Linked DNA regions of Rhinolophus ferrumequinum. The protein of the gene in region 1 interacts with the protein of each later gene in a biochemical or structural test. Links are inferred from orthologs where the notes say so. Each region holds a gene or a part of one and is shown in the gene's direction. Other genes may lie near its edges. The genes, in order: SH3GL2, DNM2 and DNM1.

Region 1 (7,142 bases):
GGCTTTGAAACATCAGACCCAGTGTGGCAAGAATATGGCATCAGTGACAGTGATAAATTGTTCAATCTTTCATTCATGCCTTCCCATCTGTGTGCATTAACACAGAATGGAGACTCTGCTCTGAATTGAGGCTAACAGTGGAAGTAAAAATAACAATGAATAAGACACTTCCTTTCATTGCTTCTGTTTCTCAACGGTAAAACACAAAATTGGGATTTAATGCCTTTGCTTTGCTGTGTTTCTTGCACTTAATGAGCTTACACATAAAGTCAGGCGTAGTTTGCCCTGGTGTGGGCCAGAGGAGAGGTGTCAGGGGCTGAAGGGCAAAAAGATGAGAGCTGCTGCTTGTTGTCTGTGTCCTTGGAGAAGTCCTCTGAAAGGTGCCAGGGATGCAGTGGTTCTGTGCAAACTAAAAGTCTGGTATTTGCCAGAGCTTTCTTATAATGCAAGGAGAAATAGTGCATGAACGATGTGATGGAATTATTGCTGACCATGAACTTTCTGCCAGATCTGTGAGGTGGTGCTGTGTAGGGGTTTTATCTAATTGGAACTTTTAAAAGCAGATCTAGGTTTATTTACCATTGTACATTGATTTGATCTCAAGAGAGGAGAGGGCAGCATGTTGAATTGCAACCACCTCTTATGAAACAAAGTTCTGACTCGCTGACCTTAGGTCCCTCTTTCCCTATATTGTGCTGCCGCAATTCTCCATAGAGCCTCTGTCACAGCTTCTGTGCAACCAAAGAGGGCACTCATGTTTGAAAAATTTTCAGTCTAGTGCATTCATCCGTCTGTATTCAAGTCACAGTAACTGTCTACAGGAAGCATTTTCTGAATTACTGGCCTGGAAACCCCTTGGGGTTCAAGGTCCAGTCCATACTTGTCTTGGCATCTCACCTGACCACCTCCAAACCTTCTACCATGATTCCCGCTAGTAGGAGGAACTCAACAAATCTCTTTCAAGGGTAACATCTAAAATATCTTTATAGGTGTAAACTATGGCTTCAGCAGAAATGCAGGATTTACATGAGACCCAGAGGATACCTGGGAGAATTAACCATGGTTTCAAAAGGATTTAAAATTCCTCAGATCGTTCTTCCTCCCAAGGTACTTTCTTTGATGTATAGCAGGATGAGCCTTCTAAGTTGGTGGATGAAGAACCAAGAAAAGATAGAGACTTGCTTTTGTTTGATTTAGGGTTAAGTATTCAAAGTCCCAAGGAGACTCTCGGTCCTCATTTCACACCTTTCACAGTTAGGGAGCAGCGCTCAGGAATCCCAGGCCCTCCCACTTTGTACATTAGTTGCTCTCTCTCTTCGCAGTTTCAATCAAGGCCCATACGTCTATGAAAATGTCCCGTTTTTCAGATCAGAGACCAGTTAGGAAAAATTAACTATAAAAAAAACTTTTCTATTATACAATTAATGGGAAAACATTTTAAAAATTGAGAGAATAGAAAAAAAAAAGTTCAGTCCTAAAAGCTCTACTAAGATCCGCTGGTTTTCAAAGTGTGGTCCCCAGACCAGAGCGTTAGCATCGCCTGGGGACTTGTCAGAAATGCACAGTCTTGGCCCCCACCCAGACCTAGTGAATCAGAAACTAGGGATGTGGCTCAGCAATTCGTGCTTTAAAAGTCCTGCAAGGGATTCTGAGGCACCCTGAAGTTTGAGAACTGCTCCAGCAGCATGACTATTATTACCATTTTACGGTCTTTTCGTGTGTGTGTTGTGTGTAGGCATACGCTGGCTTCACCAAACTGTTAGAGTACAAAAGCAGTCATTGTGACACTAACCCCCAAATCTTCCCACCTAGAGCTCCACCTACTCATGCATTAAGTCCAAAGTCTTGCAGTTTCCTAAGGTCAGGAACCTGGGAATCACCATGATGATCACCACAGGTGTAAGTCGCCCTGGGCATACCACCTCATGGGTCCTCAGTCAGGTCACTTTAATGGTTTGTCCTAGACTTTGATGAGTCAGTAGCCCCACCTATCTATAGGCAGGACTGTCATCTTTCCCTGTCAAATGCTTTTCTGAGACACTGATTGCCCCTTGCCCGACATGCCTTTAGAATGGAAGAGCTCACACTTCCCCCTCCCTAGCTGCTAAGGAAAATGCAGGGTAAGAGGGTCGGGGCATGGAGTCACCATTCCCTCTGACCCTCAGGCCAAGGGGCGAGTCTGCCCACTGCTTCAGTGAGACTGCAAAAAAAAGAGAAGACACCTCCTCACACTTCACTGATGCTTTTTGTAAGAATAAAATGGACAACTTACTTCATGGACATCTGATGACAAAAAGTAAAATACAAGTGGGCAATGGCAAGAACTGGAAAATGTTCCTTCATCTTTCGGGCAATGGGAAAGCATGTTCTGTCTATGCATCAGTCAGGTGGGCCAGTTCTGCCACAGTAACAACTCCAGACTCTGTGGATTAAAATTACTCAGGTTTATGTCTCACTCATACTGAACATCTCTTGGACATCAACTGGGGACTTTGCTCTACTTCCTTTTCACAGTGGATTCTGTTTGACAGACCACAACTATTTAGAATATTGTTGCAGAGTGAAAAGAGAGCTTTGTAGCATCTCATCCCAACAATTAAACTCTATGCCAAGAAGTGACAGTCACTTTTCTTCCTAATTCACTAATGAAAGCTTGTCACAGTGCCTCCATTTAACCATAAAATATGTGGAAAATGCAGTTCTACCATGTATGTATCTGGAAGGTACATGGACATCAGTAATGACAACCACATTGGACATTTGCTGCTTTTGTCTGATTCTCTCTGGAGACTGGGTCACAAGTCTGTGTGCTCTTACTTCTCTGTTATCTACCACTATCTGCTCGACTCTTCTTTTAGGTGTTTGAGTCCACATTATCAAGGACTATGACTGGTAGCTCAGCCGATGGTCAGGACCCCGTTGTATCACCTGTTTACCCTGTGACCAAGCAGCTTGGCTAGAAGGGTGGAGGTGGGGTCTATGGTTCCTTGCAGGCAGCAGGGGTTGTGGAGGCAAGGTATTCCTAGTACTCCTTCTGCCATGCTGTTTTCTTATTTATCCTTGGCAATGTCTTTCATCTTGGCTTCTGTCACTCTGACTTCTCCCCCTTATAACTTTGGTTCCTACCTGGGGACAGCATTCAAGTTCTTCCCTATGTGCTCCTCAGTCCTAGAAAAACCAGAAGAAGTGGCGAATTACCAGAACATAGAAAACAGGTAGTGCTGCTCTGCTACTAACTATTTGAATTCTACCAAAGTTTCCCTTTAGCCTAGCCATAGATACTTTGTTACATATGTAGTATTTGTACAGCTTAGTATCATCATGCTTTTTCACATTATATAATGCTTATTTTAGATTGAAAATCTGAAATCTACTATCATAAGTGAAAGCCAAGTTTATATTCGATCTCTTCCATATCTGTAACCAGGATTAAATACTATTACTACAGTAATAGCCCACTTCAATTTTATTTATCCCCCAACTTTAAGGTTTTTAAAATTTTTTGTTATTTTTAAGTCGTTAAGTTGTATCAGACCAAACATGCAAAAAACACACACACAAAAAGAAAGGGAGTCGGTGGTGGTATTTCCTAACGTTATGTAGGTTTAAAGGATATTGAAACGATGGCAAAGAAATGTTTTCTGTAACCAGTCAAACGGGGCATGTCACAGAAAGAGCAATGACTTATTCATTACCCCAGATAGAACGCCACTCCTTCTTTCTAGGCTGCAGAGAGGGCAGGGTCAAAGGGCAGGCAACGCCGCCCCAGCTACCTGGAAGCCAAGCAAGTCACCTGAGTCGTGCCCAGTGCCTGGGCTACCAAGCTGCAGGGTCCCGTCCTCAGCCTGTTGGGGTACGCACGACACTCCCGGGGCAGGAGAACGCCCTTGGCCCTCCTCCTTAACTGGCGCCCGTGGGAGCCGTGGAGCCAGATCCGCTCGTCCGACGCCCGTGCCCAGGTAGCGGGTGCCAAGGCACCTGCCTGCGGCCCAACGCCCGGGGCGGGGCTTCCCGCGTCCCCTTTAAGAGGCCGCATCACCCGCCCCTGACGTCAGGGTGTCTCTCCGCACCAGCCCGCGTCCCGCGCCGCTCCGCGCCCCCGCGCCCACAGCCCCGGCGGCGGCACGACGAGCGCGCCGCCCGGCTTGGCCCTCCCGTCCCGCTCTGCTGCCGCTGCCTTCTAGCACCAGCAGTCGCCCGCCTCCGCGCGTCCTCCCGCACCATGTCGGTGGCCGGACTCAAGAAGCAATTCCATAAAGCCACTCAGGTAAGGCGCGTGACAGGTGCGGCGCGGGGCGGTCCCGGGCGGAGCTGCGAGGGGCTCGCACTCCGCGCTTGCAGCTGCCCGGGAGCGTGGGGACCCTTGCCTGCGCCGAGCCCGCCCCGGCCGCGCCCCGCAGCGCCCGCTCCGCCCGCCTCGGCATCCCCGCGCTGGAAACCCGCCCATCGGTTTCCCACCCCCGGCTCAGTGCGGCTTGGCGGGCGCCCGCGGGTCCCCGGCGTCCCACCTAGGCTCCCCGCGCGCCGCCTCCGCACCTCCCAGCGCAGCCGCTACCGGGAGGAGACCCGGGCTTGCAGGTGTCGGGGCGGCGCGGCAGGAGATTATGTAAAGTCGCCTCTTTCCCCCGTGACCTTGCGGTGTCGGTGCGCCGGGCTGTCCCGGGATGTGCTGGCACGAGCGGTGGCCCGCACTGGAGGAGGCTGCGGAGATGTCCGCGGTTTGGGCTTCTCCCCTGTGATCTCTGAAACCCTACTTCCTTGGTCCTCTACAGGCTCAGAGGAATGGGCAGATGGGGCTTCCTCTGGAAAGCTCAGGCATTAACTTTTCCTTAGGGAAGTCGGTCGTCAAATCGCTTTGAGGTAGAAGGTTGACCAGCAGTCTGCATGTCTTAAAAAATGTCCATATATATCACATTGTGTGTTCACCACACAGTCAGTTTTCTTTCCATCACCACATATATATAGATGATGTATTACAGAATTATACACCTGAAATCTATATAACTTTACTAACAATTGTCACCCCAGTAAACTTAAAAAAAAATTTCCCAAAGGATGTTGCAGCCTTAACATAACTAATTTTTAAAATCTTTAAAATTTTATTTTTAGTGAGCTTTTCACATTTTGGATATGGCTATCTTTCTCTATGGGGTTAATAAGCTGTGATTAAAATAAAATTTATTAATTCAGATTCTAATAATTTAAATCTCATTGGGCTTGGTTGAAGAGTTTTATATAGGGAAATAATACTTATAATGTGACCTATTTCTTATATAATGAATATGGTTACTATTTTTTTTTTATTCTTCTGAAACAGTTTGAGTTTAAGGGATCTTTAGCCTAAGGGCTTTGTTGATTTCTTTAAATGTTTCTCATAATTTAGTCTTAAGTATTTTTTTTCATAGGTTAGCCTTAATATTGAGCTTTCTCATAATTCCTCAGAAGTAGTGAGGTTTTCCCCAGGCTACTACAGTAACAGTCCTATTATAAACCACATCCAGGAAGGTAAGGGTTGTGTTTTACAGAATCTTGGTTAAGTTACGGTGACAGATGCAGCATGAAATTCATCTGTGCACCCACGTGCTATCTCTGTCACCACAGACTTGCCTTTATAGAACCAGTTATTTCTGTCGATTTAGGAAATAGAAGAAATTAAGACAGTTGCAGTAAAAAATGCCCGTCAATGCAATCATCTTTGCTTTTCAAATTGGATCTTTCTGAAACCTCTCTGCCAGAAATGTTGTAAATATAAATGTATTGTTGGTGTAATTTGGAAGGTCTCTCATAACTTTATACCCAAATTCCTTCAGAGAACCAGCGTATGCGCTGCCCATAAATTCTCAGGCAGGACTTCTTTGATGTCACAAACCATTTTTATTTCGGGTACTTGTCATTCCTGTAAAACAGACCACCGCGTTGAATTTACCAGTACCACATCCTTTCTTCACGCTGATTCTCAGGACTTTCTTTGGAGATTAGTGTTGTCCTAAATGGCAGTTAGGAACCTTGGCTTTAGAGTAGGAAAGACTAAGGCTTGACCCCTCATCTGCTGTCTGTGACCTTGAGCAAGTTATTTAACTTCTGAGTCTGTCCTTTATAAAATGATGTAATTACCTATTTCTTAGAGTTGATGTGAACATAAATGAGTTTGTAGAACACATACAGAAAGTGTGCAATAAATGCTATTAACATTAAGGATAATTTTATTAGGATAAAATACTGTGCCTTCCATTGGTAATGAGACATGAGGAAATTATAGAATTTTTAGCTTTGCTACTTAACAGAAATAATCAGAAGGCTCCATGTCAGGTTAATCTTGAAATTATATGTAGCTCTTAATATTCTGAATACAGAATTGGAATTGTGATGTGAAATAACTTCTTAGATCATTGGAGGAGGCCTGCTTGTGATAAGATCAGTACTTATCACACTGAATTTAGATGCAGAATCACTGCATCATTTTCTTCTTTTTACTGAAAAGCCTTTCATTTTAAAGGTGAGACAACGCACAATCTCTTATTCATTGCTTAGTATTGCACAGTCTTAGGAAGCCCAGGGCAAAGGTTATTCTTCCTGTGCATGTATGTGTATTTCGAAGGGCGTGTAAAGCCAGTACTAATATTTGCATGTGACACAGACATTAGGGGACACAGCCATAGTTCACTTTTTAATCCATTTCCCCCATGTAGCGCACGAACCTGATCTTATCTGCAGAGGAAGCTGTAGAACTAGAATTATTTCCTTTTGAGAATAGATATGCTGGATTAGGTAGCCTATGTTTCGAAGTGGATGACCTCTCTTCCTCTCTTCATAGAAACAAGCATTTCTCCTGTTTCTATGAAATTGAGTTTTTGCTTATGTTAGTGAGGAATGATATTGGTATCAATAAAGCAGTATAACTTTAGTGTTTGCCCACTGATTTGAAATCTCTGATATGTATCACAACTGTTTTGGTTTAGAACTGATGATTTCTACCTTGTTGCTGACAGCTGTTTTCAATAGCTCAGCTGTTTGGAAGTGAAAGAAAAGCTTTTGCCTGATAAAATACTAATACTAGAGTGGAAAAGCCTTCTAGCTTAAGAATATATTAAAATAGCAAAAATCAATCATCTTTGTACTTTAATAAACTGTATTGCTCAAAA
Region 2 (7,343 bases), on another chromosome or scaffold:
TCAATCCGCTGGCTGGACCGTTGCATTGCAGCCCATCGGCGGCCGGACAAGCAAAATCTCTTCGCCATCATCCAGGGTGGGCTAGATGCGGATCTCCGGGCCACCTGCCTGGAAGGTAGAGCCATGTGCTGGCAGGACCAGGGCTTGTCACATCGCTGGGGGCCCCACAAAGGCCTGACATGCGATGGTGCTCAGACAGTGGTTGTTAATGGGTGAAACGGCACTGCAAGCGGAAGGAACAGCTGAAGCAAAGGCCCAGAGGCAGAATGGAGTAGAATGTTTGCAGAATAATAGTAATTCCAATTGCCATCAATTTTGGGGTGTTTACCAGACACTATGCCAAGTTCTGATCATGGATCTGATTAAGTTCTGACCCACTGATTTTTCATAACCATCCTGTAAGGTGGGAGCTACCACGTTCCTGAGGTTACAGAAGGGAAAACTGAGGCATAGAGCTGTTGTCACTCACCCCAAGCCAGACAGCTCGGATATTGCAGAGCTAGGATTTCGGCCCAGGCCTTGAGCTCTAGACTCTACAGCATTAATTGGTACACTGAGGGCCTGGGGAACCATGGAGGGCTGTTGAGTAGGAGTGTGATAGGAACCAATGGGGAACCATAGAAAAGTCCCAGTAGGACAGGAAGCACAAGGCCCGTGAGGAGGCTGGAGTGGGTGCCCAGAGGAAGGGTGACAGGACTACAGCAAGGCTGTGGAGATGAAGGAGAGGCAGAGATGGGGACACAGAGGGGGAGGAAGAGGAAGAAGAGGAGCAGTGTTTCCTTTTGTCTGGCCACCCCTCACCTTGCCCTGTACCCGCAGAGATGACCAAGAGGAACGTGCCGGGCTTCGCCATCGGGGGCCTGAGTGGGGGTGAGAGCAAGGGCCAGTTCTGGAGGATGGTGGCGCTGAGCACTTCGAGGTTGCCTAAGGACAAGCCCCGATACCTGATGGGGGTTGGGTATGTCCAAAAGGGGGCAGAGAGCCCCCCTTTAGGAAGTGGATTTCTGGGCACCCCCTGCCCTGTGGTATGGGGGGAAAGACAGACCTGCCTGGGAGGGGACTAAGGACGACATGGACCTCTGCTGGGGGTGGTTCTGAGGGTCTCAGTCCAGGGGGAGTCTGAGGGTCGGGAGGAGGACCTGGGTGTGTGACCAGGGCTTGAGGTACTGTGCTCGTCTCCCCCCATGGCCCCACCCCCAGCTATGCCACTGATCTGGTGGTCTGCGTGGCTCTTGGATGCGACATGTTCGACTGCGTTTTCCCCACGCGGACAGCGGTGAGGCTCTGGGCGGTTGAGGCAGGAACCTGGGGGGAGTGCCAAAGTGGGTGTGGGGGACAGGGTGAAAACATGGTTGACCTGCCTTCCCTTCCCCCTCTCCTCCCCCAGCGCTTTGGCTCTGCCCTGGTGCCCACCGGCAACCTGCAGTTGAAGAAGAAGCATTTTCAGAAGGACTTCCGCCCCATAGACCCCGAGTGTTCCTGTCCCACCTGCCAGAAGTAGGAGAGGATGGGATCTGGGGCCGGGGCGGGGGGGGGGGGGGGGGGGGGGGGGGGGGGGGAGTTGTGGAGGAGGCAGGATGCTACACTGCTGAGCCCTGACCCCCTGTCCCCAGGCACAGCCGGGCCTTTCTGCACGCACTACTCCACAGCGACAACACCGCCGCCCTGCACCACCTCACTGTTCACAACATCGCCTACCAGGTGGGCCTGTGGCTTGGGTGGGCAAGGCAGGGGTGGGGGCGGGGTCTTCAGGGCAGGCGGCTGACACTGACACCTCCACCCCATAGTTGCGGCTGATGGGAGCGGTGCGCGCCAGCATCGTGGAGAAACGCTTTCCCGACTTCGTGCGGGACTTCATGGGCACCATGTATGGGGACCCCACCCTCTGTCCCACCTGGGCCACTGAAGCCCTGGCCTCTGTGGGAATCACTCTGAGCTGACCCGGCTTGGGGGCCAGGGGGAGGGGCTGGAAGATATTGAAGGATTTGGTTTTTTATTGTAACTCAGAGTGTGTCTGTGCCTTCTTGGGGCGGTGGCCTGTATTGGTCCCATTCCTGGTCTGAGTGTCATCACGTCTGATGTCCCTTGCTTCCCTTTGATAGTAACTAATAACCATAGTAACAGCTGGTATCTGGCAACCACTTGGCACAGCCCAGTATGAAGGAAGTGGCCCAGAGTGAGAGCTGCATTCCTTTGCCCATGGCTTAGGCCCCCCAGCCACTCTAGGGGTGGGCACTTGTCCTCCCACTTTTTACAGGTGAGCAAACAGGCCCAGGGAGGGGAAGTAGCTTGCCCAAGGTCACCATTGAGGAAGTAGCAGCCTGGCTCCAGAGCTCATGCCCTTAGCCTTGTCTCTCCCAACATGTGGCTTCATCTTGTTGTCAGAAAACACAGTGATAATGACAATAGGTGTGATCTAGCAAATGCTTACACGATGCCTGACCTTGTTCTAAATGGTTGTTATGTGTATTGTATTTTTGCAACTTTATGTTGCATGAATAGCTATGTTCCTCATTTTACAGATGAAGAAACAGGTTTATGGGAATCAAGTCACTTGGTCTTTATCACCCAGCAAATAAACAGGCCCAGGATGTAACCCAGATATGGCCAATTACAGAGTTGGTGCTTTTAGAAGATAAGGGTTTTTAAATTGAAAAAGTAATACGTAGGATCCACCATTCAAATAACATAAAAATGCAACTATTTTGATCAGTTTGTGTATTCTTCCAGAAATTTTCCATGTGTACATATTTTCATGAATGTTGGTATCCTTTACACACAGTTCTTTACCTTGCTTTTTTTCCCCCTTAGTATTTTTCAAATTGTTTACATGTCAGTACATGAGGAGTTCCTCATCTTATTTATAGCTGCTGCATAGTATTTATTTAACTAGCTCCATGGATGGGCAGTTAAGAGTGTTTCCAGGTTATTCTGCTATTCTAGTCAAGGCTGCAATGCCAAATCTTGTTGGTCTCCTTTTGCCCATCTCTCTGAGACCTGAAGTTTGGGTCTTGAAGCAGTCATATACTACAGGCCGCTTGAAGCAGTCATATACTATAGGCCGCTCTGCCATCCTCCTCTCCACAGTTTCTCCGAATCAGCCCATTTTCCCACCTCCATAGCTCCTGACTCCCTACTGGGCTCTTCTGCATTCTCCGACCTCCTCAGTTTCTCTCTGATCCATCTATGCCCAGGAGGATCAAATCACTTCTTAACGTGTCTTTTCATAGACAGAAGATCCGCTGAGTTTCAATGGGTACTCAAAAAGATCATGACGCGCCGAAGTTGGGGCCGGGGAACAACGTTGGATGCCTTAGTCTCATCTAGACTGGGTGTGAGCGGAAGGTAATCCGAGGAGAGGATACAGCATTCGCATAGGCGTGGAGGTGTGACTTTATATAGGAATGAGAGTGGGAGACGACAATACAGAGCTAGACTGCCTCTTCTTAGGATCCTTAGTATCGCTGAACTCCCACCTTCGAAGCGCCCTGGAACCCCGCGCAGAGAGGTGGTTTGCAAGCCCCGGGCCGAGATGTATTCTGGGACTTGTAGTTTTATTTAGAGCCTGGCAACTCAACAAGTGCTGATCACCACCGATTTCCACCAATAAGTGTCGCCCTTCAGAGGTTTCGATGGGCCTTACCCTCTGCTCCAGAAAACTTAATAGACATACAGAATACGAGTAAGAACGGGATATTGTTGATTGACAGGTACAGTTCTCAATCAGAGTTAAGATTCGGAGGTTAAAGTCCGCCCTCTTTCGGTTTGTTGGCTAATGGAATGGAGTGATATTTTTATAAACCAATGGGAAATTTTTAGAGAACTAGGTAGCGTCAAATGACAAACGCAGGTCTAAAGGATCGATCCCTAACATCATTGGCCAGCGTTGTTGACTGGAGGATCTTCTTGCCAATAAAACTGGCGGATTTTCATGCCTCCCTCTAGCAGGCGGAGCCAACATGCCTTTTCCCGAAACACCACCTACCAGCCTTGACATCTCGGTACCCGCCTCTATTGGCTTTCGCATAACAGCGACAGTTCTAACATCCAATGAGCCCGCGAGGCGGTCCCAATGGGGAAGGCTCACTCAGCCTTAAGTCCGTGCCTCACTTTCATTGGTTCGCGCTCACAAGTGGCAGCTTGGCCGGCCAATTGAGCGTGGCGCGCGGGCTTTGGGCGCAGCCCCGAGGCCCTGGCGGGAGGTCGCTCGGGTCGGGTGTCGCCTGAGAACCGGATGAAGTGGCGACCGTGAGGCCGAGCCGGACCGGGCGTCGCGCCGAGGCCCGGGCGGGCAGGGAGCAACGGCCGCGGACGCCGCGGGGCCGTGTCGTTGAGGGCCGGGGGCGGGCGGGGAGCGCTGGGCGCTCGGGCAGGGGCTGCCGGCGCCATGGGCAACCGCGGGATGGAAGAGCTGATCCCGCTGGTCAACAAGCTGCAGGATGCCTTTAGCTCCATCGGCCAGAGCTGCCACCTGGACCTTCCGCAGATCGCCGTGGTGGGCGGCCAGAGCGCCGGCAAGAGCTCGGTGCTGGAGAACTTCGTGGGCCGGTGAGCGAGCGCGGCGGCGACCGCGGGCGGGCGGCGGCCTAGGGCGCGGAGGGCGGACCGGGAATGGCGCGCCCTGCGCCGCCGGCGTAACTGCGGCGCTTGCGTGCCTGCGGTGGGGACCGGGACTGGGAGGCGGGTCCTGTTGGACGCCCTGAGTGTAGGGCTCCCTGCGAAGGCTGGGGAGTCGGCGCAGGCCCAAGGCGGGTCTAACCGGCTGGGGGTCGGGGGGTGGGCCAGGAGCTGCGGTGGACCGCTGCCGACTCTGGTCCCCACTTTTAGTGGGTGAATTCTACCATCTGGTTGCCTGTGGGTCAGGGATAGGTCTCTCTTCTCTGTCCAAAACCTAGATATGTTTTGGGCCGACCCCTGCGGTCTGGCTGGCTGTTCATTTATCTGGAGCAGTCCCTGCTGTCTGGTTAGCTGTGTCTCTGTCCTGGATAGGCCTGCCTGCTACCACCATTTGGTTGTCCATCTGTCCAGTTCTGCAGGGCAGCCCCCTGCTGTCTGGCTCGCTGTCCAGGATGACCTGTGTAGTCTGGCCGCCCATCCGTGCCCCTCAAAGACTTTAACACTTAGCCATCCTTCTGTTGGGTTACCCCAGTTGGCCTCTGCTATCTGACTGGCTGTCTGGACCTAGGGGAGCCTGTTGTCTGGACTCTTCAGACAACCCTGGAGCCTGGCCTCACTCTTCAGTTTGGTCTCTGGCAAACACTGGCTCCTCTCTTCCAAGTGGATCTTTTAGTTCCTCTCTCCTAGTGTCTGTCCTTCTAGTCTGCCCATCAGTGCCCTTAACAGCCCCTGTCTGGCCCACCCTCTGTGGTAGGGGGTGATAGGAATTTAGAGAAGAGAAGGGAGCTGAAGGATGAGACTTGAACTACTCCCTTGTCAGTTGGAATTAGGAGTTGGGGGCGAATTTTCTCCGGGATTCTTTCCTGGCCAATGACAGGGTGTTTCAGGACCCCGGAACACAGGGGCCAGACACCAAGCTAAAGCCTGCCAATTGGGGGCCCTCTTGGAGCCTGGGAAGGGACTTCTTGTCTGATCAGGCCTCCATCTTAAGAGCTGGGATAAGGTCTTCCCAGGGCAGCCCTGAGAAGCCTCAGTTTGCCCATCTGTTCAGTGGACAGATTTCACTCTCTGTGTTATTTCGGGGATTCAGGAAGCTAATATAGAGAAGCGGTCCTGTGGCCAATGAGGTCGGTTGATTCTCCCCTCTCCCTTCTTCTGCCTCTTGCCCTTCTGCTTCCCAGATGGGCGGCCACGTTTCTATTCTGGGAAGGACTCCATTTGTGACTGGCTGTCAAATGATAATGTCATAGTCATTGTCATGATTACTGTTCCTGTTATCAGTGTGAAGGAGTAATGTTAATCCACTAGGCAACCAGGCTGAGTTCTTTCTTGGTTCAGAGTCTTGAGTTCCTTGATGAGCAAGTAGGGTGGAGGTTGTTATCCCCACCTTAGAGATGAGCAGGGAGGCTCAGAAAGGCCCGGCCATTTGCCCAAGGCCACCAGCCTGGTGCTCACTTGGAGCCCAGCTGAACATGCGGCCCCGTCTCTGCTTTCCCGGAGGCCTGGGGTTTTGTTCCCAGTGGCATGAATTTCCTCCTTTGCTGCTTTGTCTCCTGGCACTTTGCCCTCTGTCCACTGTGACAGAAAGTGTGGGTTTGGGGTCAGCTCAGCCTGGGTTGTGGGCCTCTCTGCATGGCCGTCTTCCTGCCTGCCCAGGCTTCTGGTGGGCATCTGCAAAGCTTTGTCCGTTTTAGTTGCCTTTGACTTTGCACAGGTTTTTGACCTCTTTGAGCCTTGTTTCCCCCTCCTAAAAATGGGGTGATGGTCCCTCAAGACTGTTGCAGGGATGCAGTGACATAGTATGTTGAAAGTGCTTATTTAGCATAGTACCTGGCACACAGTAGGTCTATATGGCCATTATTCACTGTGCTGGTTCCTCTCATATTGACAACAAAAGCTAATCAAAGTTAAAGTGGTCTCAAGTTTCACACTGGACTTCATTTAAGCCTTATGAGGGTGGTACTGCTATGATCCCATTTCACAGACCAGGAAGCTGAGGCTTAGAGAGCTGAGCACTTTTATTTGAGGCTGTTAAGTGAGGAATTGGGGGCTTTGAGGGGGAGAGTCTTTCTCCTCTCTCCACCTTTCTTCTGTCCCTCTGCCCCTTGCCTTTCTCTCCCATCCACGCTGGCGTCTGGTGACTGCCAGCTCCTACTGAGCTGGCTTCTGTAGCAACCTCCTCCCCTAAACCCGCAATGCGACATCCTTCATTAAGAGCATTAATTTGGGGCCTGAGAACCAAAGTTGTCAAAAGGCCTCTCTTTGGGTAGGTGTGTTCTGACAGAACTAATTTCTTTTTATTTCTGGAATGTGGGGAAGGCCCCTCAGCTACAAAGCCCTGATCCAAGGGGATGGCAGATGGACTTCACTTTGAATTGCACTCCCTACTTCTTTCTGGGCATTTGGTCAAACTGTTGTTTTGTTCTTCTCATCGTGGACCAGTACAGTGGATGTCCCACTGATTTCGAGGAACAGACAAGAGAGGGTCCAAGGTATGTGCCTGGGGGTCAGCACACGTTGCTCCATTTCAGTGCCTCCTCCTTGTGGATTTTCTAAGAATGTGGTTGGAGTGGGAATGACCCAGTTAACTTAGCCCTGTATGGGGGTTGCATATCAGTGGCCCCCGGGGGCTAAGTCTGGGTCTTTCATTTCACCTGCACGGTGTTTAAAATGTTTTGTTTTTAATTAGCTGTCAATATTTAAAAGTTACATTTTGCATAAAAATC
Region 3 (6,908 bases), about 56 Mb from region 1:
CATCACAAAACCCTCCTTGCACAGCTCTATGAGTTAGGTAGCATTTTCTTTTTCTGTTTTGTTTCTTTGTTTCTTTTCTTTAGATTCTACATATAAGTGAGATCACACGATATTTGTCTTTCTCAGTCTGACTTATTTCCCTTAGCATAATACCCTCTAGGTCCATCCATGTTGTCACAAATGGTAAGATTTCCTTCTTGTTTATGGCTGAGTAATATTCCATTGTATGTAAGAGTTAGGTAATATTATTATCCCCTTTTTACTGAAGAAACTGAGGGTCAGGGAGGTGAAGCGACTTGCCTAAAGTCATCAGGTTAGAAAGCGGCAGAGGTGGGATTTGAACACCAGCCAGGCCAGCTTTCCAGCTGTGCCGTTGAATCATATGTACCTAACCATCAGCACACAAGGGTACCTGCCTTATTCCAGGCTCATGGGGAGCACCTCACTATAAGATGGGATGCTGCAAGCACAGATGCTTGGACCATCAGTGCCCAAAAGCCCCTGGGAAATCTTGGTGCCCAGTCCCCAGCCATGCAGAGGAGGGGATGTGGCCCAGCCTGGCTCAGCTGCTCCCTCAGCAGTGACCTTGCCCCAGACTGGGCCAGGTGCCATTGCCCTATGCACCTGGTCTGCTTAGCTTGTCTTTCTCTCCCCAGTGAATCCATTCTAGAAGGACCTGTCCTACATCTTATTAACCTCTTCATCCCCCTATGTCTTGCTTGAGGTCTGGCATGAAGTAGTCACTGATCAATAACCTGTTGAAGAATAAATGAACAAATGAACCCAAAGGGCCCAGACCCTGATCAGACCCTGTGACTAAATATAATGGCTTGACCGACGAGCTGTATAAGAAGGCCACTGTTCAATTCAATATAACCAGCATTTACTGAGCACCTACTGTATGCACAACAGAAACCCTATCAGAAAGGGCTACTGTTTTATGTGCACTAAAATATATATAGGTTACAAGAGCTGGTGTAGTGTAGGATAGAAATGTGGAAGCTCTGAGTCTGACGACCTCCATTCACATCTTCACTCTATCACTTCCTGGCTTTGTGACCTTAGACTCATTCCTCATGAACCCCTTTGTGCCTCGGTTTCCTCATCTGTCAAAAGGAACTAATAAAAACTTCTCGGGGCCGGCCCGGTGGCTCAGGCGGTTGGAGCTCCATGCTCCTAACTCCGAAGGCTGCCGGTTTGATTCCCACATGGGCCAGTGGGCTCTCAACCACAAGGTTGCCAGTTCAATTCCTCGAGTCCCGCAAGGGATGGTGGGCTCCACCCTCTGCAACTAAGATTGAACACGGCACTTTGAGCTGAGCTGCCGCTGAGCTCCTGGATGGCTCAGTTGGTTGGAGTGCGTCCTCTCAACCACAAGGTTGCCGGTTCGTCGCCCGCAAGGGATGGTGGGCTGTGCCCCCTGCAACTAGAAAACGGCAACTGGACCTGGAGTTGAGCTGCGCCCTCCACAACTAAGACTGAAAGAACAACTTGAAGCTGAACGGCACCCTCCACAACTAAGATTGAAAGGACAACAACTTGACTTGGAAAAACAGGCTTGGAAGTACACACTGTTCCCAATAAAGTCCTGTTCCCCTCCCCAATAAAATCTAAAAAAAAAAAAAAAAACTTCTCCCTCCTGAGGGTTGAATCTCTCAGCAGAGTAACCTGGTGGAGAGGAAATGCCCAGTGAATGTTCCTATTGTAAACCTGCCTAGCCGTTAGTGGTTAAAGCTGCAGGAGGTCCAGAGAGAATTCTCCCTCTTGGGTGCTCAAAAGAGAGAGTCAAAGCCATTTCTAAGACTCATTTAATTTATTGGCCCTCAGAGCCCCCAGCTTCTCAGTGCCTGGGGAGAACCTTCTACAGTAGCACTTCTTCAGTCCTCACCAAAATCTGTGGGAAACTGAGGCCAGGGTAGATTTCAGGTTCATTTCCTTTCTGATTCCATACCTTCGCTTATACTGGTTCCTCTATCCAGAACATCAACCCTTCTCTACATCCCACAGTGGCATTTTATTCATCCATTCTTCAAGCCTAGCACATCCATTTTTAGCAGACCAGGAAACAAAAACAGGGCACTGCCAAACTGGAAAACTATGCAGCCGTGAACAAGAACCATGACCGATCTGTTGGTTCTTACATTGAAACAGGTCAAACACATACCGTTACTAAAAAAGCAAGTTGCAGAGCTTCTCCAACGTTGAAGTGCATAGGAATCTTCTGGGGCACTTGGTTCTTATGAAATTCAGGTTGTGATCCAGCAGGTTATAAGTGGGGCTTGAGATTCTGCATTTCTGAGTAGGTCATGCCCAGGCTGCTGGTCTGGCATCAGTGATTCAGCAGGACAGGATGTATAAGATTCCACTTCTGTAAAAACAAAAGAAAACAAAGTGAATACATATGCAAAAAGCCAGAGAATAAACACTAAGTTATAAAGACTGATTATCTCTGGGTGGGAGGATGACCAGAAGTTTTCAAATACTGTGTAAAGGCTGATTTTTACAATAAGTTTCACTATCGTAATTAGGAAAAACAACCCAGCCATGACGGTGCCCCTCTAGGTAGACATCTGCAAACTGCAGCCCCTCCTCAAATTAATGACTGTACTCCAGGCTTCCTCTCTGGTTCTCAGAGCATAATAACTGTGTTTCCCTGAAAATGAGACAGGGTCTTATATTAATTTTTGCTCCAAAAGATGCATTAGGGCTTGTGTTCAGGGGATGTCATCCTGAAAAATCATGCTAGGGCTTATTTTCCGGTTAGGTCTTTTTTTTCGGGGAAACATGGTTACCAGGCTGGCTTGAAGCAGCTGCTCAGGAGGGGTGTTGTGGGTGGCTGATGCTCCAACTGTCTCGAGGGCTGTCAGCATCGGCATCCTGCAAGCAGGGTGTAGTAAAAGTCTCTTGAGCGCCAGGCCAGGTCCATGCCCTTCACAGGCATTTCTAATCTATCGTTATCCCCATTACCCAGATTAGATAACTGAGGCTTAGAGACGTGGAGGGACCTGGGTGATACAGCTTGTCTAAGGCCCAGGCCAGGCTCCTAGGATAGGGCCTGATCTGGCTGTGGCTGGCTGGCTTCTCATCATTTAGGTCTCTTCTCAAATGTCACCTCCTCAGAGAATCCCCATGACTCCTCCCAAGCTAAAGTGGATTTTTCATACCCACACAGTTACCTCTTTTCACAACCCGTTTATTTCCTCCATTGTTCTTAGTATAAACTTTTTTTCACTTTTGCTATTTCATTGATCTGTGTAGTCAATCATTGACTGTCTGTCTCTGCCACCTGGATGTAAGATCTATGAGACACCTTGTCTGTGTTGTTCATTGCTGTATCTCCAGTGCCTAGGACAGGCCCGCCACACAGTAGGTGCTCAGTAAATATCTGTTGAATTAATGTTCTATATTTCTCCTTCTAGAAACAGAGAAAGTGAGGCCCAAAGGGACATGCTGGAGATGAATTAGTGTGAGAACTTAAGAGTAAAAGGCAGTGAGGCCAAATTGAACTCCTGGTCAGGAGACTGTGCCCTTGGAGGATGCCATTTTCTCGCCAAGCCTCAGTTTCCCTATCTATAAGATGAAGTGAGGCAGCCATGACCACTATCCAAGAGGCCCGGTACCAGGGGGTGAGACCCTCACCCATTTCAGAATGACCTCTTCGGCGCATTATCCACATTCCCACACACGGCTGGCTCAAGCTCCCCAAAACCCGCAGAAAGAGAAAACTGCAATCCCCATGGGGCCGCTGACGGCGCCTGCGCACGGCGGCCGGACTGCAGCGCCGCGGGCGCCCTCTGGCGGCAGTCCGGGACACGCTCCCCTCCAATCCTGGAGGGGCGGGGGGCCCGAGGCGCAGGCAGTCGGAGCGCGCGGCTGCTGCGGCGGAGCCGGAGCCCGGAGCCGAAGCGGCGGCCAGATCGCAGCCCTCGGGGCCCGCCGCAGCCATGGGCAACCGCGGCATGGAAGATCTCATCCCGCTGGTCAACCGGCTGCAGGACGCCTTCTCCGCCATTGGCCAGAACGCGGACCTCGACCTGCCGCAGATCGCCGTGGTGGGAGGCCAGAGCGCCGGCAAGAGCTCTGTGTTGGAGAATTTCGTTGGCAGGTAGGAGAGGCGCTCCCCGGAGCGCGCACTCCCTACACCTGGGTCCCCTGGGCCTCCGCCCCCGGCTCCGACGGCGCCGCGACCTCACAGCCCCTGGCGCTGCACCCGCGACCGTGCGCCCCCCACCTCCAGCCAGAGGGAGGTGGCCCTCCTCCTCCACGAGAGCCCCTCAGAGGCGGCAGCGCCCCCCGCTTGTCCACGAGCGGCGTCAGGCCACCAGCTACTGTATCACGCCCCCTCCTCCGCCCCATCCGTTTGGGAAGACAGCGCTCTGCCAGGAGACCCTTACACAGGGTTGTCCCCCGATACCTCACAAGGGCACCGAGGGGCCTTGAATTACTCAGTGGCTCCCTCCGACTCCCTCCAGGAGTACCTTGGAGGGGCAACACCCCCGGGGCAGGGCCCCCTACCCCTAGGCTCTACGGAGGACAGCTCCCTCCCCCCATGGGAATTCCTGGACAGTGGTAGGGGACACCCCCCATAGCCCCTGGTAGAGGACATAGCTCTGTGGGCATCAAGGACCAGGCACAGCCTACCCCCTCTCACACACACACCTCTGCGGCTCCCGCCGCCATCCGTGCGCAGCGCGGCCGTGGGGGGAGGCGCGGGCTGCAGGATGAGGAAGGGAAGGGGGGTGGGGGAGAAACTGCTTCTGATCCTTTTATGAGCAGCCGGCCCCTTATTCTGCCGCCGCCCCTGGGTGGAGGACGTCTGTCAAAGTCGTTCTCCCCTTGGTCTGGCAGAGGGATTGTAATGGAGGGAGAAGGCAGTGGAGGGCAGAGATGACTAAGACAGGGAGGCAGGATGGCGGGGAGGGGGGAGCCATTTGCAGAACCTAATCCTCCTTCTGCCTTTGATCCCACAAGGCGCTGGAAGGGCCAGGTGGCAGCGAGTGGGGGGCAACCACAAAGACAGAAGGTCCTGGGTTTAGAGGGACAGGCAGTGTTGTGACCCCCCCAAGTTCCCTCAAGATAGGGGAGGCAGAAATGGCTTTTTGGGGTACTGAGAAGGAGAGAGAGAGAGGATGGCGCTCTCCTGGTGCTGGAGGCTGGATGGGGGCTGGGCAGACTGAGGTTGGAGGCCGGAGAATTGACACTGACCTCTCCACTCTGTCGTCTCTCTCCCTCACCTTCAGAAACCCTAGCTTTCTTCCAATGACCTTCATGGCTAAGGAAGCCACTGGCAATGTGGGAGAGGAAGGTAGAGGCCCCTCCCTCTGAGGAACAGCAGTTCTGGGGAGAGACATCCTGGGTCCAAATCAGGTTTTGCTGTGAAACCTCTGGCCAGTCACTTGCCCTCTCTGAGCTTCAGTTTCCCATCTAATATGGATAGTTGGACTGGATGATTATTTCTGCCCCTCCAATGACCTGGGAAGCCCAGTGCAAACTGTAGTGGGGAGAGGGAAAGGTCTTGACTGAAGTGATGTATCTGTGGGATGTTGGAAAGCCATCGTGGGGGCGGCTGGGCCCATCTGGTCAGCAGAGGAGGAGACCGTCTGTCTGTGGAGGATGAGGGAAGGCTCCCAAAGAACCCTCCTGCTCACGTGACCCCCAGAACTGCAGCGACACAGGCAAGAGACACACAGATGGGCCAGCAGTCAGAATGAGGGGGTGAGGGTGGGGGTGGAGGGACCCTGGAGGCCTTAACCCTTTAAATGGCACTCATAGATATCCAGCACTTTACAGTGTACAAACCACATTCCTACCTTTCATCCATTGAATGTTTGCTGAACTCCTGCTCTGTGCCAGGTTGTGTGCTCTGGGCAGGTGCTGGTGGGGAAGGCGACCTTAGCTCCCATCTTCTGTGCCCTTCCCATGTGCCCACACCATGCTTCACAAGATGGTTCACAACAGCCCCATGAGGCAGGTACCATGGTGCCTAGATGAGGAAACTAGACCTTGAGGTTAGATGCCTCGCCCAAGGTCACATAGACAGTGCCTATTAGACTCCAGAGCCCAGGTTCCTAGTCTCGACCTTGCACAGCCTCTGAGAGCCAAGCCCAGTACTGAGCACAGGGACATGGAATGGTATGGCCTCCATTTTCCCCATCTGTAGGATGGGAACAATGATGGCTGCTGCCCTGCCTTCCTGAGACGGTGGCTGTGGAGCTCCAATGAGTCCATGGGTGTAAAAGTCCTTTTGTCAACACGTGGGGGCGGGTATTGATAGTTAGGTTTGGGGGCCTGCATGTGCCAGGACAGACCTGACCCCTGCCTGCCCTTTTGGAGTTTACTGTCCAGGAGAGAGAGGTGTCAGTCTGTAGGTAGCACAGCAGGCCAGCCCGGCCACAGCTGACTTCAGCAACTCTTTGTCGAGTGATGGTGCAGGATGTGGACTCTGGCCCAGGAGGCCTGGGCCCTTGCGCTGCTCTCCGAACCCTAATGCTCTTTGACGGTGGCCCTGGAAGAGGCTGCACCAGGTATCCAGATGCAGGCCCAGGGTAGAGCAGGTGAAAAACCAAGGTTCAGTGGGGCCCCCAGCAAGCCCTGCCTGCTCCCTCATGGGCTCCTGACCTCTCTACCTAGGGCTGGGTCCCCAGACTGGTGAGCATGGTAACAGCCGCTCAGCCTCCTGGGACTTCCCAGGAGTCAATCCCCCATGGAGAGGAAGTGGAAAAATGCATCAGAGGAAGTAGAGGCAGCTGTAGGCCGGCCTGGGCTCCCGGGCTCCCAGGAGGACCCTGTTCTCAGCTCTGCAATGGAGGTGGCCAGCAGCTGCCCAGGACCCTGCTCGGACTTGTCTGATCTATGCTATTTCTTCATCCCCCTTTTACAGAGGGAAAACTGAGGCTGATTCGTTCAGT

What was found.
Region 2: the proteins of SH3GL2 (region 1) and DNM2 interact in a biophysical measurement, tested with the Homo sapiens proteins (2 studies listed by BioGRID and IntAct, with this or other methods). The link is inferred for Rhinolophus ferrumequinum from reciprocal best matches to the Homo sapiens genes SH3GL2 and DNM2.
Region 3: the proteins of SH3GL2 (region 1) and DNM1 form a complex in vitro, tested with the Homo sapiens proteins (2 studies listed by BioGRID and IntAct, with this or other methods). The link is inferred for Rhinolophus ferrumequinum from reciprocal best matches to the Homo sapiens genes SH3GL2 and DNM1.

Annotation. Positions count from the first base shown.
Region 1 is NC_046295.1:21,619,946-21,627,087, reverse strand, and holds the start of SH3GL2 (endophilin-A1), read left to right. Parts: upstream 1-4,055; 5' UTR 4,056-4,222; coding exon 4,223-4,267; intron 4,268-7,142. UniProt on the Homo sapiens protein: Implicated in synaptic vesicle endocytosis. May recruit other proteins to membranes with high curvature. Required for BDNF-dependent dendrite outgrowth.
Region 2 is NC_046301.1:39,642,635-39,649,977, reverse strand, and holds the start of DNM2 (dynamin-2), read left to right. Parts: upstream 1-4,240; 5' UTR 4,241-4,387; coding exon 4,388-4,548; intron 4,549-7,343. Other genes in the region: QTRT1 (queuine tRNA-ribosyltransferase catalytic subunit 1), read left to right, coding at 1-115, 820-958, 1,201-1,276, 1,388-1,497, 1,614-1,701, 1,788-1,940. UniProt on the Homo sapiens protein: Catalyzes the hydrolysis of GTP and utilizes this energy to mediate vesicle scission at plasma membrane during endocytosis and filament remodeling at many actin structures during organization of the actin cytoskeleton.
Region 3 is NC_046295.1:77,124,930-77,131,837, forward strand, and holds the start of DNM1 (dynamin-1), read left to right. Parts: upstream 1-3,816; 5' UTR 3,817-3,944; coding exon 3,945-4,105; intron 4,106-4,659; exon of another isoform or gene 4,660-4,733; intron 4,734-6,908. UniProt on the Homo sapiens protein: Catalyzes the hydrolysis of GTP and utilizes this energy to mediate vesicle scission and participates in many forms of endocytosis, such as clathrin-mediated endocytosis or synaptic vesicle endocytosis as well as rapid endocytosis (RE).